2 linked regions of the Coturnix japonica genome follow. The protein of the gene in region 1 purifies or fractionates together with the protein of each later gene. This does not show direct contact. Links are inferred from orthologs where the notes say so. Each region holds a gene or a part of one and is shown on either strand. Other genes may lie near its edges.

Region 1 (16,258 bases):
TTATTTTCTTTTTCTTCACTTTTTAAGGAAGTAGGGTTCACTCTGATTCTTCTGAGAAATAAAACTGAAAATATCTGTTGCTCTAGTACCCAAGAGCAGAAAAGATGAAAAATGTGCATTTCCTCAATTTCTTTCCTTTAAGAAAAAAAGAGAACACATACACAAATAATAATAATAATAATAAAAGTAGCAGTGACAGTAGAAAAGAAGTTAGAAGATGAGGAAACAGGAACTTCATATAGGATGCAAAGACGAGAAAGGGAAGCTACACTGGAATACTGTTAAAGCAGGAAATCATACAAACAGGAACACAGAAAATTTTAGTTCTGGGTGCTTGCTTTTGTTTTTTAACAACTGTTTGATAGACTCCTTAGAAATCTGGAGTGCAAAGAAATGAAGGGTAGGCTAACTATGAATATATATGCAAATAAATTCAGGTTTTCTTATCTACTGTGTCAGGCACGCATTACAATAAAGCACAGCTGCACATTTGTTGAGCTTAGACAATGGTGTCTGCTTCCTTAACAAAGAAAATCATGTTATTTCAAAAAAACAGGTGCAAAAGAAGAATAGAAGCATGTGGTTTTCTTAAATACATCCTATATTAAAGACAAAATTATTTTTATGAACTTCAGCAGGATCACAGAGCTTCTTCATTTCTGAGTCTCAATTCAGCTCAGTTGATATTTCAGCTTTCATATAATCTTACGAGATCATATAAAGATGGCAGAAAACAGTGCTAATCTTCCCACAGAACAAGAAACACCATCACAAGATCATAGGCGAATCCAGAATCATAGAATGGCTTGGGCTTCAAGGAAGATCAAACTTCATCTACTACCAATCCCTCTGCCAGCAAAGGGGATCTGATCCAGGTCTATAAATATCTAAGGTGTAGATGGAGTAAATATCTAAGGTGTGGATATGTAAGTGGCGAGGCCAAACTCTTTTCAGCAGTGTGTAGAGACAGGACAAGGGGAAATGGCCAGAAACTGGAGCATAGGAAGTTCCACACAAATGTGCGCAAGAACTTCTTTACGGTGAGGGTGATGGACCACTGGAACAGGCTGCCCAGGGGGGTTGAGGAGTCTCCTTCTCTGGAGGTATTCAAGACCTGCCTGGATGCCTACCTGTACAACCTGGTGTAGGAAACATGCTTTGGCAGGGGGACTGAACTCGATGATTTCTGAAGGTCCCTTCCAATTGCTACAATTCTGCGATTTTGTGATTAAGTCATGTATTAGATCAGGTTGCCCAGGGCCTCATCCAGCCCAGTCCTGAACACCTCCTGGGGGAAATATTCCACAATTTCTACGTGCAGCATGTTCCAGCACCTCAGAATCCTCTCAGAGAAACATGTACACATGACATCTAATCTAGACCTCCCCTCTTTCAGATTAAAACCATTGCCCTTGTTCTGTCACTTTCTACCCACATAAAACACTGATTTGCCTTCTTCTTATAAGCTCTCTTAAGTAATTTGAGGTCATAATGAGGTCTCCCCAGAGCCTTCTCTCCTTCAGGCTGAAAAAGGCCAGCTCCCTCAGCCTGTCTTTGTAGGCTAGGTACTCCAGTCCTCTAATCATCAACCTATGCCAGGTAACCTTGTAAACTACCTTAAAGAATCATCGCTACTCACCCTGTAAAAACCATTTTAACTTGACCAAGTTAAAATTACACAGCAATGCTATTTAATACTTAAACTACCAAGTAGCTGTGTCTTGCTGAGTGTGCTAAAAAGTCCCATGAAACCCAGTACCAGCTAGATTCTGAAGGTACCATTTCTGCATTCATCAGCCCAACTCTAAAAGCTCCCTAGATCACTCTTCTGTGCTTTATCACAGTTCCTTCAAGCCACAGATTCACTCTTCTCTTGAGCACTTCTGCTAACTTCTAATGTAGAGATGAAAAATATGCAATTCTCATAAAATGTTTTTCTAAAATTCCAAAGAAACAGGAAACTAAACTGTACTACCTGGACCATAAGAACGAAGGCATCACCTAAATAATATGGGATCGAAGATAAGAAAACATTCACTTTGAAAGCATTTACTGACTGGACAAGTAACAATGTGCATATTAAGGCCAGAATGTTGTTAAACACTGTTCAGATGTTATCGTATTAAAGTTAAGAGAAATAAGTGTAAAAATAAATACACGGCATTTTTAATGCCAGACCACTAGTTGTACAAAAAAAGCTTTCAATGCCTAAATCTAAAGGATGCATATAAGAGTACAAAACGTAAGTAAAATAAACTGAGTAATGAGTCTGGCTTTAGCCATTATTAGTCCTATTATGAATAATCTGCTTAGCTTTTCAAGATGAAAAATAGAATAAGAGCATCTTATACTATATAGAGTATTGTACTATATAACATCATTACAATATTCATACTATATGTTTTATATTAATTTTTGTGAAAACTATAAGGTAACACAGAACACGTGAACTTGAAAGAGGAAAAATAGACAAAGAAACATCTGAAAGTTGATGTGATAATGAATTTCAAGTGTAAGCTACTGTTTTCTACAACTGACTGTATTAAAATCAAGTACTAGTAATCCAGAATGCGCAAAGATGACAGGATCCTGTTTCTCGGTGGTGGTGAGTTCTATTGTTTGTTTTGGGTTGTTCTTTTTAGAGCATATCAGCTTCCCTATTTCCACGCATTGTCTTTCTTGTTGATGTTACTGACTAATGTCACTAATGTTTTATTTTTTCCCACTCTATTGAGACCTTAAGCAAAATATTTGTCAAAATCACACTCGGAAGTAAACTTCAGACCACCTTGCAATGCCTTCAGAGCTGTGTATTTATTTAGAGAGCTGATTATCAAGCAAATCATGATTAGACAACGCCTAGATTTCCTCAACTTATGTGGTATAAAACATCAGCACATATTAGTCCTTCCTGTTTATTCACAAAACCCAGCAATGCTAATTCAAGAACATGCATGACTCTTACACAGAAAAACAAACAAACAGTAAGCAAATATCCACAGTGATAAAAAGTACTCTAGTAATGTAACTTAATTGTGTCCAGGAAGATTATTCACTCATATACAGTTAGTTAAGAAGTTTCTTCTACATGAGTAAGCATAAGGGCCCCACGTAATGTTCAGGGGTAAACAAATAAATAAATGATCTACACACTCAATGGAGGGGACTATTTCAGCAACAGCTGGAAACACCATGAAGAACAAACCAATAACATTTCCAGCAAATCCTTAAAGTAAGTATTTAATACCAGTTGTCTTTCAAAAATGCTTATACTGGCCTCAGGGACAGTTAAAATACTAATGCACACAAAGCATGGAAGTAATGGCTTGAACCCTCAGAAAAAAAAAAGAGATGTTCCAGATCAAGACTGGATAACAGAACATCCAATAGCAAACCGACTTTCTTAATCACTGTGATTGCAATAATATATAGCCTTTTAATAAATCACTCCCTTCTGATCTGAAAGCTATTGGAGTAACATTTGAAACAATGCCCAATAACTACCTAATATAACTGCAATAAAACTAGATAGTATTCTACTGTTTACAACACTGTTTTCCTAGAGGCATTGCTCTGACACACTCAACATGATCTGAAAACAAAAACCCAATCTTTTAGAAAGATTAAACCGAACATAGCTAGCGCTATATACTTTTTCCTCAAGAATACGAATGGAAAAATAACTCTTTAAAGCTCCTGAAACAGGCATTAGGAGAGTTTGAGGACAAGAGCTTAACTTAAAGCTCATAAACAGCTATAAAATGACTATTACTCTGTTTGATCCATCAGCATTACTGCATGCATTGACAGAACTAAGCCTTGTCAAAATCATCCTCCATTGGAAAAAAAAAAAAAGTATATATATATATATATATCAGGGAAAAGAATACATAATTTTTACATACACAGCTTTAAATAGCAGGACATCTGATATAGCACTGGACAGTAAATGCAAGCATCTCTAGACTGGAACTACTTCATGGAGACCAGTTGTAGCTGAAATAACAAATCCAATCATACCTTACAGCAAAAAAGTCTGCAAGAAACCAACAGACATCCACAGAGAGAGCAGAAGGCAACTAAGCACTGTTAGTTATACCGATGTATGGACAGGAACCAGGAAGCATAAGAGCAACTTCAAAGAATAATTAGAATAGGTGACGAGTTATGTTTTAACTGCTTACCATCAGCTTATCAGTACTCAGGATTTCACTGATCAGATAAATGCTTTATTTCTGAATGCTTGAGGAAGTAATGCTTAAATTGTAATGGAACACATATACTCAAAAGAAAATGAAGTAAATGTAGCATCACTGCTGAATAACATGTTCTAATTTTTTATAAGGCCTCCTTGTGTCTTTATTCCACTTAAAATACTTCACAAATATTCATGGTATACAGTCATTTAGATGGAAATGAATGTTCAGCTTTTTAAATCCTATGCAAATACGGCCATCTTGTGGCTAGTGCTGGTAGTATAGATTTTTTTAAAGCCATACAGAACAGATGTAAATAAATGATAAAATATTTTTATGTATTAATGACAATCACCTATGACGGTCAAGTAACCATACATTTTCTAAAAATATTTATCTATTGCATTTATACTACACAATAAATTTACTTTCCCTGCAAGATGGAAAACAGATCACACATTCTTGAGATACAGATACATAATGCGGATAGAAATTTTGTATGAGAGGAAAAACTATAGCATGAAATTTTTTGATCTGTTCTGAAGCATTTCTGAACTACAAACGACTGCCTTCTACCAACAGATTATATAGACAAGTCACTCCTGTCCCAATCAAGCCACCACTGTACTAAAAGGACATGACATAGTTGCCACTACTAAAACCTTGTAGGATGATTTCCACAATTGGAGTGCAGCTATCAACAAGTACAAGCTGTTCAGAAGGTGAGGAAGGACGGGAGAAGGCACTGCCCTTCACACTGAGGAAGGAACAGAGTGTAAAGACCTGTCCCTGAAGAATGGCAAAAGACCAGCATAGCTGAATGGGGATCTGCTGGTCAAACCAAAGAACAGGAAGACACAGGCAACAGAAGCAGAGACAGGTACCCTGTGAAGAATATAGGGATACTGCTAGGCTGTGTAAAAATGAGGTCAGGAAGGAGAAGGCCCAACTAGAACTGAACTTAACAATGAATGCAAATAAGGGCAAGAAAGGCTTTTACAGGTACATCACTCAGAAAAGGAAAGTTCAAGAGGGCACATCCTCACTTATGAGGAATAAGGGCAGGCTGGTAACAATGAACAGAAGAAAACTGAGGGACTTAACTTTTTTGCCTCAGTCTTCACTGGCAACTGCTCTTCACACACCCTTCAAGTGGATGGGTTGGAAGGCAGGAACTGGGGGAGTAATGTCCCTTGCACTGTAAGTGAAGATCAGGTTGGCATTCACCTGCAGAATCCAAACATCTATAGTTCTATGAACTGATGAGATGCATCTCAGAGTCCTGAGGCTGGTGTAATGGCCAAGCCTCACTCAATGATATTTGAAAAGTCAAGTCAGTCAGGTAAAGTACCTGGTGACAGGAAAAAAGACAGTGTAGCATCCACTTGTAAGAAGAGTAGAAAGAATGAACAAGTGAGGCGCTGGAATAGGCTGCCCAGAGGCTGCCAGTGCCTCATTTTTGGAAGTGTTCAAGATCTAGTGCTTGACCTAGTAGTTGGCAACTCAGCCTACAAGAGGGGTTTGTAACTGGATGACCTTTGAGGTCCCTTCCAACCAAAGATATTCTACGATTCTATGACTCACCTATGCACTGGGAAGGTCATGGAGCAGATCCTCCTGGAAGCTATGTTAAGACATATGGAAGAGAGGGAGATGTTGTAGGATGTGTGCATAAGCATGTATTCACCAAGGGCAAGTCCTGCCTGACTGACCTTGCTATTTTTGATGGTGTAACTGTGACTGAGGACAAGGGGGAGCCCCTAATGTCATCTATGTAGACTCTAGGAAGTCTTCTAACATGGTCCCCCATAACATCCTTCTCACTAAATTGGAATGATACTAATTTGATTGGTTGACTGGTTGATGGATGAGTAACTGGTTGCAAGACTGTACCTAGAAAGTAGTGATCCACGGCTCAGTGTCCGGAAAGAGATCAGTGACAAGTGGTACCCCTAAGGGGGTCAACATTGGGACTGATGCTCACTATACTTGGTCTTGACAACAGTATCATCAGAAAAAATAAATCTGGACAAATTTAAACAGCCTCACTCATCAAGCTTGTTTTCTTAAAATAATTCTGCTTTGATTTACTGCCATACTCAATTTCAACAGTAATGTAATATGTTTCTCAAGAAATTTCACATCACCGATATATGTCATGAGTATTTGGAATGTAGGAATAACTTCTTGAATGGAGAATTACCACTACCTTTAAAATATAATTCCTTGATTTATCTTATCTGTCAACTGAATTTTAGGAAGAACACAGGAAGAGCACCCCAGTGAGGTCAAAACTCAAGTACTACATAAAGATACAACAAAAGTCAAAAATCTGGAACATAAAAGTATAGAAAAAAAGAATATTATATAGATTATAAAGCACTGTATCATCTGACATGGATTATCCATACAGACTACTGGTTACACAACAACAAAGTTTACAGCTTTAATCACGTATATCAGTGGATAAATCAAGGTATTACTAACATATATCATTATGTATCATAATCTCACAGCTACTTTGCTTTATGCTTAACATGCTTTGTTGTTCTCACGAGTGAATAAGAGGGGAAAAAAAAAAAAAAAAGCAAAAGCAAAAGCAAGGCACTTGATATTAACTCAAAATCCAACAGTTTAAACTGTTTCTGAGTGATAAAGGAAGCTGCTACGATCAATCACATTTGTTTAAGGACTTCAGAATTTAGAAATAGTCTATTACAGTCTAGTGCACAAGCTAATGTGTTAACATATTTATCCTCAAATATTGGTTTAATTTGTACATGATATAATGCCAAAAAGAGACTAATGCAGTACAGATAACTGTCATCACAAAGAAATCGCAACAAGAGAAGTGAATATTATCTACCTTTTCCACCTTTCCACCATTGATGTCACTGGGGAGGAATTTCTTGCCAATGGTTCTTAAATCTGTCTGAAATTAATATAGAAGACAACAGAATATAAATCTAAAATATCCTATTTCAAAGAAAACAATCATAAAACAAGAAAAAGAAGGGCTTCTGTAATGTCAAAATAAGGATACTCTACAGATATTCAGAGCACATACCATAAAAGAGAGCATAGACATTCAACTTACTTTCTGTTGCACAATATAGCCACAGAGTGATAAGAAAGTACATTTGGTTTTCAAACTGAGCCCACCCAAGGAAACCGATCTGTCGCTTGCCTGTTATTTACCTCTGAACAGCACAGCAACTCCTTTGAACTGTCCCTGCAATAATCTGTATTCGTACAGAATTTGACAAGTCTCCAGAAAGATGCTTTGCAACTACAGCAACAAGGAAGGAGACAGAACTTTTACAAACCCTTTGCAAGATCTTAGACAAAATAAAAGCATTTGAAGAACTGAAGGCACGCTTACATTTCTTTCATTCCTATTCAAGCAATACACAAAAAAACATCAGTTGGCTTCTTGGTTTCTTTTGACTTTTAACAGCCAATGAGAGGTGTGAATTTTTAGGAAGTGGAATCTAAACTCTCTTTATCCTGCTTTTCAAAACACAATGGTATTCCCTACTTATCCAACAGGAAACATAATCTCCTGGGAATTTAAACAACAACTAACTTAAAGACAAAAATACTGATAATCCATTAAGATTGGCTTTGGGTACTTTCATAATATTTCTGGTTTATCTTGGTTATCTATCAGCCAAGCTGGAAATACAACACACAAATTTGTTTATTTCCTCGTGGCAGAAATAATTACTAAATCAAGATATCTACAGTAATTGAAGCAATGCTTGTAGTTACATAAATAAGAACGCATCATAGCAAACTCAATGTTTGCTTGAACAGGCTTTAAAAAATAGCATACCCAGAAGTCAATTTAAGTAAGGGTGTTTTACTAATCCTAGCAAGCTGATATTTTGTTCTATAATTTCTTAAATCCATACACAGCACTTCTGATTTCATTTCAAGTACTGCTTATACTTTAGATTTACATTTCCAAAACACAGAAATATCTTCCTACTGCAAATGATTCTCATTTTTCTCCCCATTAGGCTTCTAGTTGGAATAGGCGTCATTTCCAAATGAAATTCAGAAATAATTCATACATTCTGGGAAGGAGAAAGGTGCTTTGTCCTTTATGTAAATCGCACAGACAACAGTGTATTTAATTAGAGTTATAGACTTCCACCTGAGCCATCAGATATATTGTTTTCAGTGTGTTGTCAGAGAAAAAGTTCACAATCATAACTTACATTAAGTGCAACTAGGATAATGTCATTCGTATTGACTTTTTCAGATGAATTTATGCAAGTTTCGATTCCTTCATCTGAAAGATACCTGTGTTAAAGAAAAAAAAAAACAGACATATTAGGATATACATGATGTATGTAATAGGTGAATATCTGTTCTGCATGCAAAGATCATTTTTAGTTTGTATTTTCTATGTTATGAAACATAGGAAGAAAAAAACCACAAACAACCACATCAGTTTCTAAAGAGCAAGACGATGCACTCAAATGCTTTAAGGAGGCAAATATTATACTGTCATTCTACAAACTTTCTTCTTGCTCACCTAACCTACAAAATAACTTGTAGAAGTGGATTTGTATCTCCACATATCCCAAGAGTCAAATGTGGTGAACAATTTTAGAAACAGAACATCTCTGGAAGCATTTGAGATTTTCACAGTGGCAGTCCAGGATCACCACCTTCCTGCCAAAATTCTGTAAGCATGCAATAAATCTAATCACCTGGCAATTAAAGAAGACCCACTGAAAGGATGTGCATTATCAATTTAAAAGGGCTGACACATTCTCATGTTCAAAAACACTTAAGGAGAATGTAAGTTTTACTTGAGCAGTTAGAAACTGTGACATTTGTTGCTCAATTTGCCTCCTACTTCTCACTACAACCCCTCAGTTTTCATTCCCATGTAGATGGAGATCTGCTTTATCTGTACAGTTCTGCCTTTTCTTTAAAAACATCAACAGCAATCATTACACTGATAATTGTCAGACTCTGAATCTGAAACACAGAACTTGCCCAAATAATATTCATGTACCAATTACCTAACGAGAAACCATTATTCCTCAAAGAATAAATAACCATTAAAGGAAATAATAATAATAATAATAATAATTAAAGTTTAAGTATTCCAGAACACTTAAAGAAATATTTAAAGAGAATCATTCCCAAGTGTAAAATAAAATCATATAAAGATTTGAACGAAAGCAGACTCAATACACCTTTTTAATTCTAGCTCAGCTAACATGAACGTTGCCCTGACAGTGCTGCCAGACTAATTAATGATCCTCGTTGTGCTCTGACCCAGACACTTGATAGCAGTGTAGCTGTTCAAATCAGACACTGACACTTAGCAAATCCTGAGGGACCAGAACTCGATAAATAACTAAATAAATAAATTATAATGTGGAAGAAGCAATCCTATTTTTTCATACGGAGCATACACTAGAGAATAAGGTGGCAGGATTTGTTAGTCCACGCAGGAAAGCAGATTTCTCAACTGAGTGCCTCTGAGCTTGGGTATCACCACCTGTGAAGATTCAAGTGGTAATTCCCACTTGGAATTCTCAGACAGACTTGTTAGCTGGAATCGGAATGTAAAGTAGAACAGAAATCACACACCCTACCAGAGGAAATGGGAACAGGTATATTCTATAGGCAGCACTACACACCTGGGGCCTCAGCTGTGGATTAATTACACCAGTAGGGTTTCCATAAGGAGAAATTTAATAGAATCTGCAAGTCTACCTCCTATAATCTTTAGTACAGAGTTGAGGATCAGTTGTTTCAGGAGTGGGTGGAATACAAACCCCACAAGCTGAATTTCAGACAAGTTGTGGAAACATTCCTTCTCTTGTGCAAATTAAGTAATTCTTTGGTTCTGCTGAAGCTAGCAGAACTGCAATTCCATTATGAGCTACACAGTGTAGTACTGAGATGCAAGCACTAAGATTTATCAGCAGGAAAAAAATATATTCGTTAGAGAGTGAGTAAACAACAACCTGACCCAGAATTAAATTTTCCCTAGATAGGATAAAATTGATTACTTCTGCTACCATAAAACTCACTGCTGAGTCGTGTTTCCATCTCTCACTTAAAAGTGAAGGCTAAAACACAGCTGATAAAATTTCTTAGTTTCCTTTGTCTCACTACTTCATAGAATCATAGAATGGTCCAGGTTAAAAAGGATCACGGTGATCATGGAGTTTCAACCCCCTGCTGTGTGCAGGGTCACCAACCAACAGACCAAACTGCCCAGAGCCACATCTAGCCTGGCCTTGAATGCCTCCAAGGATGGGGCATCCACAGCTTCCTTGGGCAACCTGTTCCTGTGTGACACCTCCCTCTGAATTCTTCAAATGGTTTGAGACAAAATGATAAATACACATATGCACATTGAAAAAGGTTTTTCTTTTCTGACTTGTTAATATGTCAGTTAACAACAGCACTTAAGAGAAACATTGCACACCAGACTGAAATCTCCATCCACATTACAGAGGAGACAATAATGAAATGCCATTTGAGGACACCTTCTGGCTTGATTTAAGGAAACACTACAGGTTCTCAGCAAAAACACAATAATCAGTTTTTAAATTAGTCTTCAAACTAAAATAAATTTTTAAAAAAACAAAAACAAAAAAAAAAAAAACAGCCAATCAAAACAGCTTTCCAATAACTTCTCAAGTGGTGTTTCTGTGTAACAGAACATATAAGTAAAACAATCATCAGAAATGGTCAGGAGATTAGTGAAGAATTGCGATTAGAAAAGGCTGTATACCCAGACGGAACCAAAACACACATTTCTTCTACCCAGACAGAAGCCTGGAAGGAGTGCATGTCAAACTAATGATGTTTTAACCATTTAACCCTCTTGCTGCTTCATACAAGTAGTATTCCTAATACATATTTTCTTCAAAACTCTGCAAAGTTCTTTAAAATAAGTATATTTGTTCTCCTTATTGTCTATATTGCCTCCTGTAATAACTATCTAAGTTACAAACATTTCCTGCTACAGGCCCACAAAGTATTTAAGAAAAATAAATAAATAAATAAATAAGAGCCAGTAATTCTAAGAAATTTCTTCTAAAATAAATGCATTTGTACAGAGAAAACGTTTTTCAAGCATGAAATGGGAGTTATGATTGACCAAATTAGCTCTTTAGCTGGCATAAGGTCTGAAATTCCTTTGCTTGGTTGAAAGTCGCTTCTTTCTGTTCTTAATAAGGGTATGTGACGTGCTGAATGTACAGCACATAGCAAAAGACACTTCATATTTTTCCCCCTTTATTATATAGAAGAAGAAAATCTGACCCTGAACCAAAATCAAAATCAGAGAAACCCTCCTCAGAAGGAGCCCTGGAGATCAGCACCTGCATTACAGTCATTCAAGTGCCTCACAGCGCCTACATTAACTGTTCTGCACATTTTGCAAGATACCATGACCTACCGCAACCCTACATAATGAAAGGTGAACTACAAAATGATCCCATTACACTAATCCAACATGATTCCTACCGCCAAGGGGTGGGAAGCACTCCTAAGCTGTCCATGAACTAGATTACACCGCTGGAACCTGCTCATGAACTCAGAATCCCCAAGACATAGCTGGCAGCACTGTACAGATTCAAGTACCATGGGACAGATCTTTTTCTGCACACCTTAATCCCAAGCTTCTCCCTCTTCTTTGAACGAGGGGGTGGGGGGGGGCACCACATGGAACAATCCAGCACAGGAATATTGTGCTGTCACAATCAAGACATTTCCCTTCATATTTTCATTAAACACACAAGTCAGAAGTCAGAATTATGCATGTGTACTTAAGGAGAAAGTATAAAAACGATGAAATAAATGGGTGAGAAAAGCCAAGCTCAGTAAAGCTTTTAAGAAGCACAATGCAGGGCAACAGCTGACCACTGACATCTTACACAGACAGTGATGAAACAAATTATTTTCTTAACATGTAATGCAAATAACAGTATCCTGCAAGATATCCTGCAAGTGAAAGGCTTAAAAGAAGGCAACTAGCTTCCAACTTGCAGCTTATTTTTTGGCTTTGTCCACAATGTTCTTAAACATCCTAATACTACGCTATTAGATGTCAGGGCAATTTTTTTCATTGAGAGGGTGGTGTGGCATTGGAACAGGCTGCCCAGAGAGGTTGTGGGTGCTCCACTCTGGAGACACTCAAGCCAGGTTAGATGGGGACTTAGACTGAGCTGGTGGGTGGCAGCTCTACCCACAGCACAGGGTTGGAACTGGATGGGCTTAAAGTCTCTTAAAACCCAAGCTATTTTATGATGCTTTTGAGGAAACAGCACGTGTGTGTGCATGTTACTCACTGAACTTCTGAAAGCTGGTAATTGTATCAGCATTAATTGCAAGAATTTTCAGTTTCTAAGGAAAAAAATACTCACTAGAGTTGAACAATCTCAGAGGTTATAAACTGAAGTAATCAGACAACTGTATCGATTTCAAAGGAATTATACCAAGTAATGCTCTATGAGTCACACAGGGATTTTGCAGCCTTGAAACATTAATACAAATTAAAAAATAAGAAATAAAATCGGTTTACAACTAAATGGGCTCCAAGCTGCCTCATAAGGTTGAGATGTTTATCAGCGGATCATTCTCTTGGGAGAGTAGACCAGAAGAGAAAGGAAAATAAATGCTTCTCCTGCAATTCTTCCACATTATATTTGCTGGAATCCAAGGGATATTTGTCTCATCTATTCCTCCTCTACGCATCCAGCTTCACTCATCTGAGAAATGTAGCAGCACAATCCTCTTAGCAACAGCTTTTGTCAGAAGAGCAACTCCTTTTTAAACAGAAGGCACCTGTTCTTACATTTCTGAATGAGACGCTGCAGTGGCAGTATTACTAGGAGAAATCCACTAGTATTTTGTGGGAACCATTCACATATAAATCCAACTCTGTAATTTTTCTGTCAAAACGTTCTCTATTAGCTCCTAAGAAAAACAAATTTTGGCAGTTCCTCCTAACAAAATAAATACGAGTGGTAACACTGAAAGCTTTTTTCCCCACTGCTCCTTCATATCAACTGCGACATCAACCTAATAGTCCACTTCTGAATGTTTCCCGCAGACACCCACACTCTTCTCTTTGATATTTCCCATTGTTGGGGGCTGTAATTCTGCAGTACCAGTCTCAACTATGTCCCTAGCCAACTCATTTTACCTTCTGCTTTACCTCATCAGGAACAGATTACACCTGACATACCCTAATCAGACAGATTTGTTACTGCCACACTATAACCACCTGCATCTGAAGCATTAAAGAAATCCTGCTACCAAAGACAGATGCATATTTGTGCTTGCCTGCACTTTACTGCTGGATCAAGTACCTCATATGCAAGCAAATGTGCATATGTGCATGTAGAAATTTTACAGTGTTTAAATTAAAAGCTTCATTCTAGAATTAAATCCACCTGGTAAACAACTTACCTAATGCTATTTTTTTTCTACCAGCAGCTTTCTTGAAAAGTCTGTTTTTGCTATTTGCAATTAACAGTCCATATTCAACCAAAAATCTTCCCTTGGGGTGAGAAAGAAAGAAGGAAGGAAGGAGGTAAGGAGGGAGGGAGGCAGGAAAGAGGGAGGGAGGCAGGAAAATAGTTATTAATAAGCATGCTAAATAAAATTTATGTTTTTTAATGTCCATACCTCTCCACAGAAACACTGAAACAGGAACCAAAAATGCAAGCTGCATTAACAGTACTTCCCGTAATTCTGGCAGCCACCTAAAACAACTCTGGAGTTTTAAAGCAAATTTAACATGGCTAATTCTAATGTGTGTGTGCAGTAACAAAAATGTTCTTCCCATTTCTTCCCGAAGAAAACAGATTTATGCAGTCATGCCACACAAAGAGCAACCTTTGTAGAGAGCATTCACATTTCTGATAGCTGGTAACGCCACGAAGGGGAAGAACAATTTTAATCAAGTTGAACTTCACGCAATAATACAAAGCCACCAGTGGGTGCCAGTATTGCTCCACAGCAGAAGAACCTTACCTTCACATTACGTATTTTAAACTTGTGCTGTAGTCTTTTGATAGGGTTTCAAAATGTTCTGCCGAATTACAGTTGTATAAAGGAATTATACCGCAGTAGTACAAATTTTACTGAGGCACTATCATTAAAGCTGTTTTTTAAAAAACACAAAACACATTTGAAAACATTATTATGCTAAACATGGAAATCAGGTTTAAAAATAAGGCTTCTTCATGCCCTATAACCTGCGTAATGCTGGGTAGGCAACTGACATTGCTCTGTTTTAAAATAAAAAGCCCAGACGTTGAAAGGATGATGTAGTATTATGCAAGCTACTAGAGAAAATAAAACAGAACTTGAAGGTGAAGAAGAACAGAGGAGTTATGAAAAGGATTCCTAAGTCCTAACAAAATTAGGGCCGAACACTTCTTCATCTGCAAGGCAAACATCTGTCAGTAATGACAAATAACCTCCACTGTTGTTTTCAGTAGCATTCTTGGCAATTTTACTGTTACTATCCTGACATCCAGAAAAGGGATTTTTTTTTTTTCCCCAATGTCTAGCCTTGCCACATTGCCTCCTGTTGCTTCTTGTTTTCTCCACATTTGTGGGGCAGAGATTGTGCCTTTCCTTTTTGCAGTCGCTGAGCCTCACTCTCTGTACTTACAGAGATGATCATTGCTAGCCAGAAGTATTTTTGTTCTCCCATCACTTCTCCAGTTTGTTAATTTTACTTTGAATCCTAATACTGCTCACTAACAGCTCCACATTCCTGCAGAGCTTTATCTTGTGTTTAAGCCCAGAGCTTCATGCTTCACCATTCAGGTGCTTAATGAGAGTATCAAACAAAGCCTGACCTAGACGATGCCTCACATTCTGACAGTGAGCCTTCCACAGCCATTCTTCCTAGTATAGTCCAATCAGACATATAACTGCAGCAAAGGAACTTTACACATAATGTTTCTTCATTTTACTCCTTAATGATAGGAGGGTTGGGGAAGCTGGAAATTGCCAGTAGAATTCCACTTCTTTACATCATCCAGAATGCTGAGAATTACAGAAACGTGGTTGTAATTAGGTTGCTGTTCAGGTGAATGGATACCAATTTTACTTTTAAAACATTACTGACATTTATAGAACTGCTGCACAGCCAGCACAGCACCCGGGCTCCCTGGGCAGCTAAACTTGTATCCTAGCTCCCTAACTTTTCACTCCTGGACATATAACAACACTAAGTGCTGTCTGTAACCCAGGTCAAGCTGAAACTTCAGCAAAACACTCATGAAAAATACATTCCGAAGCTCCAATTCTCACAGTTTTAGCTGACAAACCTTAAGGCCTTAACCTCCCTTCAGGTGTCTGTAATGTCTGACTTTCAATAAAAACACCATCTAAGAAAGCCAACATATTTTTAGAACATAAAAACAGAAAATTATACATATATGGTTGGGAGTGTGGATCTGCCTGGGGGTAGCAAGGCCCTACAGAGGGATTTGGAGAGGCTGGAGAGTTGGGCTGAAGTCAACGGGATGAGGTTCAACAAGACCAAATGACGGGTCCTGCACTTCGGCTACAAAAACCCCGGGTGATGCTACAGGCTTGGGGCGGAGTGGCTGGAAGACTGTGTAGAGGAAATGGACCTGGGGGTATTCATTGATGCTTGACTGAAAACGAGCCGACTGTGCCCAAGTGGCTAAGAAGGCCAAGGGCATCGTGATTTGCATCAAAAACAGTGCTGCCAGCAGGAGCAGAGAGGTTGATTGTCCCACTGTATTCAGCACTGGTGAGGTCGCAGTACACACCTCGAGTACTGCATCCAGTTTTGGGCCCCTCACTGCAAGAAAGACATTGAGGCCCTGGAACGTGTTCAAAGGAGAGCAAGAAAGCTGGTGAGGGGTCTGGAGCACAGGTCATATGAGGAGAGCCTGAAGGAGCTCGGAATATTCAGCCTGGAGAAGAGGAGGCTCAGGGGAGACCTTATTGCTCTCTATACTTTCCTGAAGGGAGGTTGCAGTGAGCTGGGGGTCAGCCTCTTCTCTCATGTCATTAGTGATAGGACT
Region 2 (16,258 bases), on another chromosome or scaffold:
TTGCCCCAACTCAGGTGCAGGACCTTGCACTTGGCCTTGTTGAACTTCATAAGATTGGCTTAGGACCACCTCTCAAGCCTGTCTAGGTCCCTCTGGATGACATCCCTTCCTTCTAGTGTGTGTCAACTGCATCACTCAGCTTGGAGTCATATGCAAAGTTGCTGAAGGTGCACTTGATCCCACTGTCCTTGCTAGCAGTATGACAAGTGACTCCCAGAATTCTCACTCTGTGAACAAAAAAAACACTCAAACACTATGTTGCAGCCATGGCTTTAAACCTCTGTCACATTAAGTATAGGAATCCTGATATGTGGCTAGAAGGGGAAGCCCTCCTGTCAACTCAAGATGTTCAGAAAGGACCCCATTGCTTTCTAAACTTCTCTGAGAAACCTGGTTGCAGCTAAACTCAAACTTAGTTAAATTGACTTGCTTAAATATACACCTAAAGGACTACCTGTACAGACACTTATGAGAATCAGCATTACCCTCTCAGAGCCCTCTCAAGGACTTCCACTGAAGCAGTTTCAAAAAGTTTAAAATAAGTGGTTTATTGAGGTGACAGATAATGGATGTGGAATTGTGACTGATAAATGCATCAGCTACACAACACTAAATATCTTAAGGCTAGACAGTAATTAATTAACAATTTGCCTACAAAATAATAATTACCATCCACAAAATAACTGAGGAACAATTTCTTACTGAAAAAGGAGTCCCTGCTAAGAATGGAGGATGAGCGAGACCCATCAACACACTCAAGAATCATAGAATCATAGAATCACCAAGGTTGGAAAAAGACCTAAAAGATCATCCAGTCCAGCTGTTCACCTATTACCAATAGCTCCCACTAAACCATGTCCCTCAACACAACATCCAGTCGTTCATTGAATATCCCCAGGGTTGGTGACTCCACCACCACCCTGGGCAGTCCATTCCAGTGCCTGACCACCCTTTCTGAGAAGTAACACTTCCTAATGTCCAGCTTGAATCTCCTTTGCCATAGCTTCAAACCATTCCCTCTGGTCCAAGCCAATGGAGCATCTCCAAACAGCATACTGAATGGCAGAAAGGCAGATTTATACTCTTGATTTGGGGGGACTGAGTCACATGTCTTGTGTTGACAAGCATCACAGTGAGTCTTATGGCATTGTTAATTAGAGGAGGTTGGGTTAAGGCTAATGTTTGGTTCCTTCTCTTGCACTTCTGACTTTACCAAAACAACATTAGCCTGCCAGGCTTCTGCCACACTTCAGGCATCACTTATTCACTGCTGCTGCTGTTGTTAAATTCGAAGGGATGCTTTTCTAGCAGCCTTTCATTTAATAACATCATGGTTTTGCTGAAAATCCTATTTTATTTGGTTCAGAAATGCATTACTGGAGTTTTTTGAAGAGTGCAGTCTTTCCCATAAGATGAGAACATCTAGTTGACTTTTCATTATTATCTAATCTAACAGAGCACAACCTCACTCTCAACTTCCAGTACGTAAGATTTCTTTTTTTTTTTTACTTTGAAAGCCTGTGAAAATGAATAAGAATTCTGAACTGAAAGGGACAGGACCATTAGAAAAGAACAGATATAATCTAGTTCAAGAGTTCAGAAGGGAACTTCAGGATTCAATGTATATATTACGTGTTTCATAGCCTTCTCCTAAGTAGTTGAAATCAATAGAAGAACAGTGTAGAAAACAGCTTACAGGATGGTTGTTAAAATTAAATTACATTTGCAGTAATAATCTTCCTTAATAATTGTTTGTGTAATCAGTGGATATACCAATGCTATAACTAGGAAATATACAGAACAGTTAGACTAAACTGGTTGTTATATTATAGAATAGATGAAGCTTAGTCTTTTCCTAGGCTCATTAGGTGTCTCCACAAGGAGCAGTCTCCACAAGGAGCAATCTCCAAAAGAGATCCTTCCCCGGTAGTCAGCTCTTAAATGGGATCTAGCAAAGGTAGAGGCGGGCTTCACCACTTCTTGTAGCACAGGAGAATTGCCTTCACCTGTGCTCCCATGGCTGATTTATTGATCACCTCAGGTGGTCAGTCAGAGGTTCAGACCATGATTTAGCAGTTCCCATACTCTGTTTAAGTTCACTATTAATATAAACTACAACAAATGGCATTAGATATTTATAATGTCTAATTAGGTCCTGTCACGGAGTTCTCTCTAGAGCTCATTCCGTGACAGCAGGAACAAACCCGGGGAGAGAAGGAACAAAAGTACCTCCCCTCTCTAACTGCACGGTGCGGCGCAGAGCAGCCCGGCCACGTGCGCTGCGAGAGAGGGGAAGGGAAGAGAGATTGCAAACGGTCTAGGAGGGAAGAAATGAAAAAAAAAAAAAAAAAAGAACGATCTGAGAACGAACAGCAGTTTAATAAACCCAATGACGCTAAACAACAACGAGAGAGGAGAAAAAAAACAAGTCCAAATCTCACCGACTGGCTGTAGGAGGCGAGAAGATCCAACCACGCTGTCTCCTCGCAGGGAACCGGGCGAAACCCCGTCCCTTCCCGACCTTCCCTCCGGTGCCGCCCCCTCCCCCCATGCCCATTAAAGACAGGCCATAGAAAAGAAGAAAAAAGAAAAAACTTGTCTCCTTAGCTCCCATTAAACCACATGATGTTCTGACGTGGATTAGCAACACGAACCAAATTACAAAACCATAACAGGTCCAAATAAAGTTACTGGTCCTAAGCTAGTCTGTAGTCAGTATTAAAGAAACTAAGATCATGTTTTCTTTCAAAACTTCAGTGAAGTGTTCAATTAGTCTTAAAACTTAATTAAACAGGGACATCAGTATTCTGAAAACAAATTTTCATCACCTCATGTTCTCACTTCAAGACAAATTGTCTTTGGGGGACCTCTTGTGGTAATGACTTAATTACTGCACTTTAATTCTTTTTTGTGTTTAGAAAATATTTGAGTTATGTCTTCAAACATATTTTCTGGAGCTTGTGAAGTTATAAAAAAGCAAGTTAGTATTACATTATTTATGAAAATCACATTAAAAATCCATATAGCAAATATATCCAGAATATAAGCATACATATGATATGTCAAAGACTGTTCAAGCTAATGAAGATAAAAAAGTCTTTCAAAGTCTTGGGGTTCTCTGCCCCCTGGCATGGAAGTCTTGTGTGGGGAGCAGAATAAATCCCTGATGATTCAGATGGAAACAGACCTACTACCTCCCACCTGGACTGACGCAAGCCCGTGGGGCCAGATGGGATCCACCCCAACAATGCTAAGGGATATGGTGGAGGTAATAGCCAAACTGCTTTCCATCATCTATCAGTGTTCCTGGTCACACAGAGAGGTCACAGAGAATTGGAGGCTTGCTAGTGAGAGCACTATCTAGAAGAAGGGTTGTAATGAGGATCTGGGGATCTACGGACCCAAAGGAAAGGCTGCTGCATGATCTGCAATCTGTGAAACTGTGCTGGCTGTCTTGGATCATCTCCCCATCTCCCATGTGCCTTAACATCTCTTTCAGGAGGATTTACTCCATTACCTTGTCAGGCACAGAGGTGAGGCTCACCGATCTGTAGTTCCCCAGGTCTCCCTTTCTCCTTTTCTTAAAAACGGGAGTGATGTTTCCCTTCAAATATGATGGAGAGCACCATAGCAACTGCATCAGCCAGTTCCTTCAGAACCAAATATCATCTGGTCCCATAGACTTGTACACATTCAGCCTCTCATGAGGAACTTGTTAAACATGCAAAATTTTGAATATCGTGGGGCTAAAAATGAACATTAGAGATTCTAACAGAATTTTTGATGCAAGAAATTTACAATGGATATAGCATTTAATTAAACATACAAGATAAAATTACTATGTCTGCAAGTGGAGACAGTGTAAACAGCATATATACATGAAATTGTATCATATGTGGCAGAAGCCATTGAGTTAGTCTTTAAAATAATGCAACAGTCTCTTGTTCACTGAAACATTTGGCTACAACTATAAAATGATGAGGAGTCTGAACCATTTGGTCTAAATGACAACTTGGTGGGGGGAGGGTGGGTGAGATGTTACTATCCCAGTCCCCAACTAGAGGTAAAAAATGCAAATTTTTTTAATTTTTATTTATTTAATTTTTTTTTCCTCACTGAGCATCAGAATGTTTGCCTAAGTAAGAACTGGATAAAATTCCATTGAGAGACTTTAACAGTTATGAGATAACCACCTTTTAAAAATAATGCTACTTCCCACTGTTCATTTCTCAGTGCCTATATGAATGGCTTTTCAGAAACCTAGAACCATTTCTTTATGATGGAAAGTCTCTGCTTGCTGCTGTCCTTCTGAAAGGCAGACATTGATGCCTGCCTTTTAAATGCTCAAGTTGCTACCATTTCTGAGGAAGATAGACAGTGAACAGGTACACCTAAGAGAAAAGTCCAAGGGAAATGATATTAGCTAAACTAGTACTGAAGATGAAAGGTAAAGGACTTTGATATGCCCTGAAACATGCCGTTTACCTTTGCTTCCTGCACTTCAACATTCCTAAGGACAAGGTATGAGGAAACATTTTTCTTATATTCTCTACAAATGTTTAACAAAGCACCTAGGTACATGCATAATGAATAAATGTTTATTACTATTATTATTATTTTGTTGAAGAAAACATATTTCAATATGCAGTGTGTCTCAAATACTTTCCAGATTAGTTGATAAGTCTGCAGTCTGCAGACTGCAGTCTGAAGTCACAAAGCAGCATAGATCTGAAAAAGAACTGAGCAACTGAAGGACCAAACACAAGACTTAAAGCAGATGAACTGAGATGTTTGGGGACCACGAAATACTATGAGGATGGAGGGGAGAAAGTATTTTGGTCCAAACATAATCCTGCAGTCTGTGTAATGGTATTGAACACCAGAGTTACATATGAGAAACCAAGTCAAACATTTGAATTAAACATTTTACTTTTATATTTTAAAAGACCAAAGTATTTTAGTATTTAGATCTTTACTGAGATCTATTTTTGCAGAGTCACCACGTTTCTGATAGACATTTAAAAGGATGTGGTTTACATTAAGGCTATATAAAAACTAGTTAATTAGTGAGCATCACATTTCAGAAGGGATTGACAATTCAGTCTGAAGATAGTTCAAAGTAAAATAGCAGAAACAGTAAGCAAATTGAAAAAATACAAAGAAACATTAGGAGTCAATGAGCAGAAAACTGACAGTATGCTCTCAAGATACATAAATTGGTCTAAGCAGACAAGGATAAGAATGTTTGCTAGACAAGACAAAACAGAAAATGCTGAATTTAAGTAATGGCAAAAATAAATAAATAAAGAATTGGGGAAGATTGTACAGTACAGCAGTGTTTAGCATAGAGGAAGTAGTGAAATGATCACTCGAAGACAGCTAAATTAGACATCCTGAGATGCTAACTGCTTAAAGATAATATACCTGCATGGCAGCAACCTATTTTGTTAAAAAGAGAATAACTAGAATAAATAAAAAATGCCAAAAAAAACTTACCTAACTTTGGTTTAGGACAGTACATGATCTCTCCAGAAGAATTACTCGGAGTTTAAATAAAAAGGCATTCCTAACATGAGAAATAGTGACAAGAGGTCTATTTTTCCTAATGTTTTTCATGGTACTGATACTATGTTACCTTATCTCCCCAGTGTTTTGTTTCATATACAAATGTTGCTACTCCTCTTTCAGCTTCTCCTCTAGTTCTCTTAGGCACTCTACCAACACCAAACAAGCCAGTAGTGAAATAGCCTGCTCAATGAGCAATGCAAGTTTTACAGTAAGTCATTACACTGAATCGACACTACATTGTACTCAAGAATTTGCTAAAATTAGAAAAATAGAACTATAGAATCATAGAATCACTAAGGTCAGAAAAGAACTCCAAGACTGTCCAGTCCAACTGTTCACCTACCACCAATATTTCCCCACTAAACCATGCCCCTTAGCATAGGAACATTTCTTGAACACCTCCACGGTTGGTGACTCAACCACCTCCCTGGGCAGCTTGTTCCAGCAAGTGACCTCTCTTTCAGAGAATAAATGTTTCCTGAAGTGCAACCTGAATTGCCCCTGGTGCAACTTGAGGCCATTCCCTCTAGCCTTATCACTAGTTACATGGGAGAAAAGGCTGACTCCCACCTCACTACAACTTCCCTTCTGGTAGTTGTAGAGAAATATAAGGTCTCCCCTGAGCCTTCTCTTCTCCATACTAAGCAATCTCAGTTCCCTCAGCCTCTCCTGGTAAGATTTGTGCTCCAGACCCCTTGCCAACTTCATTGCCCTTCTCTGGGCATGCTCCAGGGCCTCAATGTCTTTCTTGCACTCAGAGGCCCAAAACTGAACACAGTACTCAAGGTGCAGCCTCACCAGTGCTGAGTATATGAGGACAATCACTTCTGTGCTCCTGCTGTCAGCACCACTTCTGATACAAGCCAGGATGCCATTGGCCTTCTTGGCCATCTGGGCATGCTGCTGGCTCATGTTCAGCCAATTGTCAACCAACACCCCCAAGCCCATTCTCTACACAGTCCTCCAGCCACTCTGTCCCAAGCCTGTAGCATTGCCTGAGGTTGTTATGGCCAAAGTGAAGGATCCAGAACTCATTTTTGTTGAACTTCATCCCATTGGTCTCAGTTCAGCTATCCAAACTGTACAGATCCCTTTGTAGGGCCTTCCCATCCATAGGGCAAATCAACACTTCCTGCCAACTTGGTGTCATCTACAAACTTACTGAGGGTGCACTCAATGCTCTCGTCAAGGCCATCAATAAAGATATTGAACAGGACAGGCCCCAGTACCAACCCCTGGGGAACTCCACCTCAGGATCTGGATTTAACTCCATTCACCACCACTCTTAGGACCCTCCAGCCAATTTTTTATCAACAAAGAGTGTACTTGTCCAGGCCATGAGCTGCCAGCTTGTCTAGGAGAATATTGTGGGAGACTGTCAAAAGCTTTGCTGAAGTTTGGGTAGACTATGTCAACAGCATCTCCCTCATTTTCCAGGTGGAAATCACTCAATCATACCAGATAAGGTTGGTCAAACTGGACTTGTCTTTTGTGAACCCATGCTGGTTGGACCTGATCCCCTCATTGTCCCACACATGCCATGTGATCTCCCCCCGACGATCCACTCCAAAACATTACCTGGTATGGAGGTCAGGCTGACAGGCCAGTAGCTTCCCAGATCCTCCTTAGAAACCTTGTAGATGGGAGTCACAATGGCAAGCCTTGAATCCTCTGAGATCTCTCCAGTCAACCAGGACCTCTGATAGATGGTGGAGAGGTGCTTGGCTATCACCTCTGCCAGCTTTCTCAGCACCCTTGGGTGGATCCCATCTGGCACTATGCAGTTGTGGCAGTTCAGGTTGGGGTTAGTTGATATCTAACTGTTTTCACCTGAATCTTGAACGGTTTATTCTGCTCCCCACCTGAGATTTCCAGGTTATGGGGTACAGTACCCAAAGGATAACATCACAAACAGGCAAACACAGCATATGGGGATTACTATAGACAATCCTAACTCTCTCTCACACACACAAAGAAGATAATTTACAAGGTTTGTGGCAGTAACTTAAAAAACAAGAGAGATTAAATTGTAGACACAAATAGCAAGAGGTTTGAAAATTCATGATGTGCAGTATGTCATTCCGTGGCTTACACAATGAGAACACCATGCATTCAGAGCAATCACAGCCATGGTCATATACTGTAATTGTGATTTTTGAAGGTAAGAATCGAACCATTTCATCTTATCTTATTCCCCGCAGTTAGTAGAAAAGCACATTGGAAGATCGTGCTGGTTCTTGCATAGCTCTGATGACAGGCTGTACGAGCAGCATTAGTTCCATGACACACAATGCTTTGCCACAGCTACATTTCTTCCCAGACACCACCACCAAGTGCTATAGTGAACTGCATGCACACTGCTCCAGTCTGTTTTAAGAACACTTAAAACACTTGTAGGGTTGGAATTCACACACTAAGTGACCGTACACTAAGCTTTCAGATACAGCTGAAAACAGCAGACACAGCATGGCAAACTTTATTTTTGTTTCCATACACAGAGCTGGTTGAACGATGCCCCGCTCTCACATGAAGGCACAGAGGACCAGCACACCTGCCACCCAGACCTTCTGCATCGCTGATCACAGAATCACAGAATGACCCGGGTTGGAAGGGACCTCAAGGATCATGTAGTTCCAACCCCCCTGCCTGGCAGGGCCACCAAACATACACCTTTACTAGATCAGGTTGCCCAGGGCCCCGTCCAACCTGGCCTTGAACACCTCCAAGGACGGGGCATCCACAACCTCCCTGGGCCCGTTATGCCTCTCATGAGCTGTTTAGGCCACAGCCGTCAGGCTATCAGGCAGTGCAAAGCTCATTAAGACCCATCTCCCCTCTAGGATGTAATCAATCCTGCGCCATGAGCGCTCACATCACCAACCCCCTTCCCGCGCCCCTCGGCCCCTAAGCCCCGCCTCCACGGCTCTGCCCCAATCTGATTCGTCCAAACACCGGTGGCAGAACGCAACGTGATTTGCCAGCGGCGCAGTCACTCAGAGTCAGGACGGCAGGCTCGCGTGGGCCGGGCTGGATCGCAGTTTGACGCCGTTGCGGCTGTGTACGAGTGCGCGAGTACGCGCTCGCGAGATCGGGGGGGTGTGGGGCGGTGCGCGGCCGGGCCGTTAGGCAGCCGGGCAGCCCGGCAGTCGGCGCATGCTGCCTGGGGCCGGTTCCCCGCCCCGCCGCAGCCGTTCACGTGACGGGATTCAGTGGTTACAGCCGAAGCGAGCGCCTTCTGGCCGCCCCTACTCCTCGCGCGCCGCCCGGCGGTGGCCGTTTCGCTTTCATTTCCCGGAGGCCGAGGCCGAGCGGCGGCGGCGCGGAGCGGCCTGCAGTGCCACCCCCATCACCCCCCACCCCCTGCCCCGCCCCGCGCGGCCCCACCCCCGCGGGCTCACGGTGAACTGAGATTCCCCTTCCCCTCCCCCGCCCGGCACACGCACACCACACCTTTGCCTCCTCTTCCTCCTCCTCCTCCTTCTCCTCCTCCGGGTCTGGGAGAGAGAGAAAGAGAAAAGCTAAAGGAAGAGGTGCTGAGCCTGGGCCTCCCGCACCGCGCCGCCGCGCACAACATGGAGGAGCTGGTGGTGGAGGTGCGCGGCTCCAACGGGGCCTTTTACAAGGTACCGGGCGCTCGGGCTGGGCCGGGCCTCAGGGGAGGGAGCGGGGCTCGGGACGGGAGGAAGAGGAGGAGGCGACGGAGGCGGCAGCGGCTCCTCCCCGCGTGGAGGGAGAGTGGGGCCCTGGGGCAGGAGGGAGGAGTGGGGGCCGCGGCGGGGCCATCGCTGCGCCCGGGAGGCGGGAGGCGCGACGCCGGGGAGATGCGGCCCTGGGGCCGAGAGCTGTGCGGGCTACAGAGGGAGGGAAGGCCCCGACCGCGGAGGAGGCCTCGGGCCTTCGCCCATTGTGGGAAGGGGAGGCCCCGGCGCTGCTGGGGCGGGGGAGGAGGGCCTGGGCCTTCGTCTCCGGGAGCTGGAGCGAGGATCAGGGCCGGGGATGGGGCGTTAATTGTTAAATCCTTGGCTTTTGACGCTACTTAAGGAAAGTCTTTCTCGCTGTCCAGGTTCCCGGGAGAGCTGCACTGCTGGTGCACGGCGTTTAAGGCGGGGGAGGAGAGGGGTGCTTGTTCTATAGACGTTCACGATCAGAGCTGTTGTCAGTTATTTTTTTTAATCCCACGGCTGGGGACGTTGCATATTAACATTGAGAAGGGTGTTGCTTGACCAGAAATGTTTGCTGAGCTCCTATATGCATCTTATTATCAATTGTACCTTTTACTGAGCAGCGTTCCATGTTTGTTTCCAAGTCTGTGTGCTGAATAAAGCCATCACTGGTTCTTCAATGCACATATTGAGCTCTTAATTTTTCCGTTAATACTGGAAACTGGCGTGGCTTTGCTTGTGTTAAGATGTATTAATTAGTGTATCATTGGGTGCAAGGTATGGTTCTACCCTGTTCACTGAAAACTCGAGTTTGAGCATGGTGAACGTGGTGGGCCTACTATCATTGTCACATACACCTGTTTACAAACATACCAGAAACATTCCTCAATCTTTTCCTGCGAGTTTTCTGTTCTTTAAATGTTGTATTATTTTAAAATGTGGACGTTGTTATTGTGCAGCATCAAATATTTATGTTAGTAAGGAAAGAAGAGGTAGAATTTCACACTCTGATGTTAATGTGGTAGGGCAGACTGGTACCAAATGATACAGGTCCAACACTCTTTTGACTTGAGTTTTTTTTCCGTGGAGACAATTTAAAAGCTTCTAAAATACATTTGTTTGTCCTCCTTCCAGAGAAGTTTAAAATAAATTAAAAAGGAAAGTATGGAAGAAGTCTGAATGTTTGGTACACAGATGTATGCTGTGGGTTTGCAATGTTGAACTCAAAGTCCTGGATCTACATATCACTTCCTGTAGTTAAGTTGTTTAGTGCTTTGAAAAATCAGCTTTAAGGGTTTTTTTTAAGGTACAGTATTTGCATGGGAATAAACACAGGCATAAATATGTTACTTAAGAGAGAAGCTCTAATGAGGCTTTCCTCAAATCATATGACAGCATTTACACAGTAGTGCACAATAAGTGATACAAAAAATGATACTGTACGTTCTTTAATAACCAATGCTGTTAAAGCGACCAGGGAGATTATAAAACTTCTGTAAACTTTTTTGTAGTCGCATGTAGTTCTAATGTTTTTACGTTCATTTTCCCCTCTCCTCCAAAGTGTGTGCACACTTCTGATTGTAGTTAAGCTAATAATTACAGATAGGCATATACTCAGAGCGGTTTATTGCTTACATTTAGTTCAGTGTATCTGAGTTATGACATGGGCGTTGCTTCCAAATTGTAGATGATAGAAATATATAGAATATAGATATAGAAATTCAGATAGAGGAATTTGACTTTCTTTCTCCCTTCCCCTCCTTAGTCTGTAAGGATTGGTTGGGAGGGATTGGTCACATTATCTAAGGGAACTTAAATGGGACATGTAGGTTTATTACAGTTCATCTGTATTGTCTGTCTGGATGGAGCATTACACTTAAGATAAATAGAGCAACAGATTAATTTTCTTTTAGTTTTATTTATTTAGGGGGGAAAAAAGCCATCTCATGCAGTAATGCTCAATGTAGACCAGCAATTTTGCTGTAGCCTAAATTGCTGGTATTTTATTTACTGATCTTTCACATATCGTAATGTTTGGCTGTCAAACTAATATGAAGTAATTTATCTGAACATTTTCTTTCTTTTTGAGTTTTGTGCTTGTCTTGCAGATCTGGGACTTGATTATAAAACGAATTGATTGATCCCTCCATCACAAGAAGTGCGGAGTTGTTCAGTGTGGACGTAATTGCAGGATTCATTTTTTTTCTGCATAAGAAGTTTCTTTAAGCAGTCTCGTTTTACAACAATAACACAAAGCATATCTAAAGCAAATTTTTTTAATACCATCTCATGGTTTGCTGATAGTTTCTTCGGTTTGGAATCATTCTTGTGAACTTCATTATTATATGTAAATATTTTGGCAAAAAGAAACCTTGCTTCTGTGAGGATGTAGAGGGAAGGAATGTGAGGCTGCTGGAGTCATGAACAGGTGGAGTGGTACAAATCAGTGCCTCATTTCCCCTTGAGGCTTTCATAGGCTCTCTAAAGACCGTATGAATTCAAGTCTATAAGTGTGTTCTGATTTTGAGTGTTCCCAGCAACATCTTGATCTTGAAAGTAAAAAATCGGTGCCTAATTGTCACCTGAATTCTACTGAGAGACACAAACTAGGCTGTGGGACCTGATCCAGAATACATGCTGAGATGCATCTAAAGGGGTAATGTTCCATGTGCAACATAGGAGTTGATTTTGGTACTTTGGTAGATGGAATATGGATTGAGAATGTGGAAGATTTTAATACTGGTCAGGTTCATTCTTCCGCAAGAGTTCTTGAATGCATCATTTTGATAGCTGGATACTAATTCTTTCAAGGAGTAATGATTTAATTATGTTAAGAATGCTTTGCCATTCCATGAACTTTTTCTTCCCATATGACTTGTTTCATGGAAAGTATAGTGCAGTAGATAAGCATAATGTAGGAATAATCAGTAATTTAGTGCCTGAAAATGCTTTGTCATGACTTCATACACTGCTTGGCCCAGAATCCCTGGGAATAAAAGCTTAAATAACCTTATTTACTTTTAAGGCTATTCCAACAGCCAGGGCTGTGTATCTTAAGGAGACAGAACTGCCCTTTAGCAGCCCTCAGTTAAATAGCTAAATTGTGGAGGTGCTGTTAGGGTCTGTTGTTTTACATCGTGTTGGTTCATATAGTAATAGAAGGCTTTCATATTCTTATTGTCAGACAGTCTATTGTCCAGTCATTCCAGTGTTAGCTCTAGATATTATTTCCTTTGAAAAGAGAATGTAGTGGATGTCTTTTTAGCATGGGATTTATTTATTTATTTTTCCTTTCTCCAGTTTGGGAGTAATTATTTGTTGTAATCTCTGCTGGCAATAGGGAGCATCCTGTTGGAGGCAGCATACCATTAACAAGCATCTTTGTTCTCTTTGTTCCTTCACGGTCCTTCTGAGGATGATAGTCTGTGCTATTTTTTCTGATTCAGTTTTCAATTCTGTGACTTTTCTTCTTTTCCTGGTCTGCCTTTTTGTTCGGTTTGCCTTTTCTCTAATGTGATTTGCCCTTCCTTATGACTCTTGCAACAGGTATGAAATGTTACAGAACTGTTAGGCAGGTGTAGATATTGGTCTGTATAAATGTAAGTCTTTTGCCTTCGAGAGCGTATTTTTGCTTATCTTCACTTCTTAGATTTATTATTCTCCATTATTAAAATGGTTGACTGTTTCTTTCTGATGTAAGGGTTAGGAGGGACAACAGCACAAACTCTTAATGGAAGCTACAGCCTCTGTTCATTCCTTTGAAGCATCCGTCATGCCATTTAGTGCATAAATAAGTTTATACGTGTCTCCAGTAATTCTTACTGTCTATTTAGTAGTTCATAAAGCATGGAGAAAAATGCTAATAATTAATGTGACAGAAAGTGAAATCTGGTATAGGAAACGTGCCACAATTTGACTTTTCTTATCAGAGAAGAACAAGTAGACCCAGCCTCTGTAAAACTTGCTTCTATTTACAGAAGTAAAAGCACAACTTGCAGTGATGTGAATTTCTTTGTATGGTCTCTAACTTGATGTCACTGCAGTCAGTGATATCGTAGCTGCTGTAGTCACAGCGTCCTATTTCCGTATTTTAGTTCCATCTAGTTTCACTGTGTTTTCAGAGCTTCTTGTGTGTGTCCATATTTGTCGTAGCCAGTGTTCTATCTCTTGGGTGTGCATTTCAAGTCCACATATATGCACATTTAGGTTTGAGTTTCCATGCCCAATTTGGACTTCTTATTTCTGAAAAGACTGAGGATTGCTTACTGTGCTTCTAATAGCAGTTTGTGTGCAATCAGTACCTATCCTCTGCCTTCAGTGACATCTGGACTGGCTTATCCTGTTGTAGTGAATTTGACTTGTGATGATGATCTGTTGCTTCCTTTCAGCATTACGTGTAGTTTTCTGTGGTACGTGTAATAAAAAATACAGTGGTGTTAAGCGTTACTTTCAGCTTTCCAAGTGCTTTAATGATTAAGTTGGTTTTTATTTTTTACAGCTACTTAGAAAACTTGATGTTTCAAAACATTACGGTTTGTACTTAGAAATGCACAGGTCCTTAAGTGTACAAACTTAGAGCTTAAATTTTACTTAATACGGGTCTATTTAACTTGTTATACCTGTGGAAAATAGACATAATGCTGTAATATAGGCTGTAAAAAGTGATCTGATCAAAGTATCAGATTTTGTTTTTGATGTCACAAGATTGGAACTGCAGAACAAGGAAAAGCAGCTTTCTCTAGAATTAAAGTAGAATTAAGAAACTGTATGTTTAGGCTCTTGATATATTTTGTCTGATTGTTATCTAAGCATAAAGCTCATAGAAGTAGACTGAGGTATTGTGTATGTCATCTATTTGAATTGATGTATTTGCTAAGAATTTTATGTTTGTAAGATCAGCAAGGCTAGAAATCAAAGAGTGAATAAGTAACATCAATGTTTTTGGCCAGGCTGGAGGAAAAAGCAGATATTCTGTCTGTTTCTGTGGTTGACTCCTCTGAAGTCAGTGAAACGTCTTTACTGATGCTGCTTGTTCACGGTCAAAAATTCTTGATTAAGGCACGTTCAGATTTCTGGGTTGAGGCCAAAGCAGTGTTGAAGTGCCTTCATAGGATCTGGAAAGTGGGAAAGCTCTATAATAATTAACTTGTAAACCTTTGTGCATTATTGAGATCATCTTCAGCCTAATGAAGCTCACCCTTCTTTTATTGTGTGACAGCCAGTAACTAGCTCTTCAGTCTTTAAACCAGGACATGATGTTAAATTGAAAACAAAGATTGCCCATAGTTAAATATTCTTTCAGTGAGCTATTTGCTTTACATTTTCCAGATTTTTATAAGTGCTAGACTGTTTAAAGGTGCTAGATCAGTCTTCAGTTTGATAACTTAAGTTTGTGTTGCTATCTAGTGTGTTTATTGATAGTAGATTGCCAAATCTAGTTGCTTATGTTGCTGTAGTCGGGAGCTTCTACTCAAGATGATTTGGATGTTAGGAGCTGTCAGGCCTGAATATGAGAATTTTTTTAAACTACTGCGCTCATGCATTTTTCTGTCATAACCCATAATATTCAACAGAATGAGTTTTGGAGCATCTTCTGGGTTGTTAATGACTAGAGAGGGGATGACTTCTCCGAAAGGATCATTCATCTTTCTTTAGCGGAAGCAATTTTTGCTGTTTTGTGAATGTGATAATCACGTATCAACAAGTTATTTCTCAGGACACAGTATTTATTATGTTACTCTTAACTGTTTTCTTCACGGCTGCTCTTGGTAGCGTTTCTGTTGGATTCCCTTTATAAAATAACTTTTGTATACTCAAATGTTTCTAATAATACTAAGTCCTATCTTTTCCATTCTGTGGTGTTAAGGAGTCATAGCAAACACTCGGCAGTGTTATTTCAGGTATTAAAGGCATCAGTTTCTGTTCTATCCGTAAGAATAGGTGATTCAGAGCTGCGCATGGCAAGATATAAAACAACTTTTGCTCTTGTTGTCACTTTGCTTTGGCTTCTGTTCGAGATGGCGTTGTTTTCAGATTAATAACTAGCATTCTACTTCTTTGTTGTAGTTAATGTTTCTAATGACAGTTGTGAATATCTACTGCTTACTTTAATTATAATCAGTTATTGGAGCTCCATATTGGTCATTAGCTACTGCTTTGGTTTGATTTTGTGAGATACTGCTGTAATTTAGCGGATGCTTGAGAATACTTGTGAAAGAAGCTGGTGGATTTATTTATTTTCTTAACCTCTTAGGTGCCATACCTAACAGAATCTTAACACTCTTTCAAGACCTGTTATTCTTTTGTTGGGAACTTGAAAAGTGGAGAGAAAGAAATGTACTACAGTTCATTAATTACAACTTACAAGAAGGTTGCTGTTAAGTTATTTTCAACTTACTGAGAATTTGTTCATCTACTGGGGTGCACCTCCTTTGGTAGAATTCACTTCTGTAATCTCTCTTGGACTTTCATTCACCTCTACTTTGCAAGGGTGTGAGAAGCTTGGATAAATGCTAGTGATGAAATACTCAGCACGTTGCTAGTGCCCATCTATTTCAGTAATTTTTAAAGGTATTTTTGAAAAGAAACAAACAATGCATTATTTTCAACCCTCATTGCTGTGTGCCCTCTGTTTGAGGCTATGAAAAATATCTTTCCTAGTGAATCCCTAAGTTTTTTTAATTAGAATATAATCTTGGTGTGTGGTGGATGGGGGAGTTTGAGCATAGAGCTGAGAAATGATCAAGGGTCATTGAGTTCAGTAGCGTAAGTGGAAAAAAGCACCCTCTAGGCTTATAGACTTAACTGTGTGCGCTGCTTCATGGTTGTGTGGGAGACTTAGCACAGCTGCTATTCATTGCCCAGAAGAAAGCAAGGAAGGCTGCAGGGCATTTTGCTTAAGTTTGTATGCTAAGGATGCTGACTGTGTGAATGAAAATTGTGCTAGAATGGATATGTGTGATTTTTGGTGGATCAATATTCAGGCTTATCTTGTGGTGAAACAAGTCTTTTTTTTTTTTTTTTTCTTA

The links.
Region 2: the proteins of TDRD3 (region 1) and FMR1 purify together in Homo sapiens (affinity purification with mass spectrometry; 4 studies listed by BioGRID and IntAct, with this or other methods). This does not show direct contact. The link is inferred for Coturnix japonica from reciprocal best matches to the Homo sapiens genes TDRD3 and FMR1.

What each region holds. Positions count from the first base shown.
Region 1 is NC_029516.1:145,177,714-145,193,971, forward strand, and holds the start of TDRD3 (tudor domain-containing protein 3), read right to left. Parts: upstream 8,506-16,258; 5' UTR 8,420-8,505; intron 7,129-8,419; exon of another isoform or gene 7,125-7,128; 5' UTR 7,063-7,124; intron 1-7,062. UniProt on the Homo sapiens protein: Scaffolding protein that specifically recognizes and binds dimethylarginine-containing proteins. Plays a role in the regulation of translation of target mRNAs by binding Arg/Gly-rich motifs (GAR) in dimethylarginine-containing proteins.
Region 2 is NC_029519.1:17,291,862-17,308,119, reverse strand, and holds the start of FMR1 (synaptic functional regulator FMR1), read left to right. Parts: upstream 1-8,923; 5' UTR 8,924-9,140; coding exon 9,141-9,191; intron 9,192-16,258.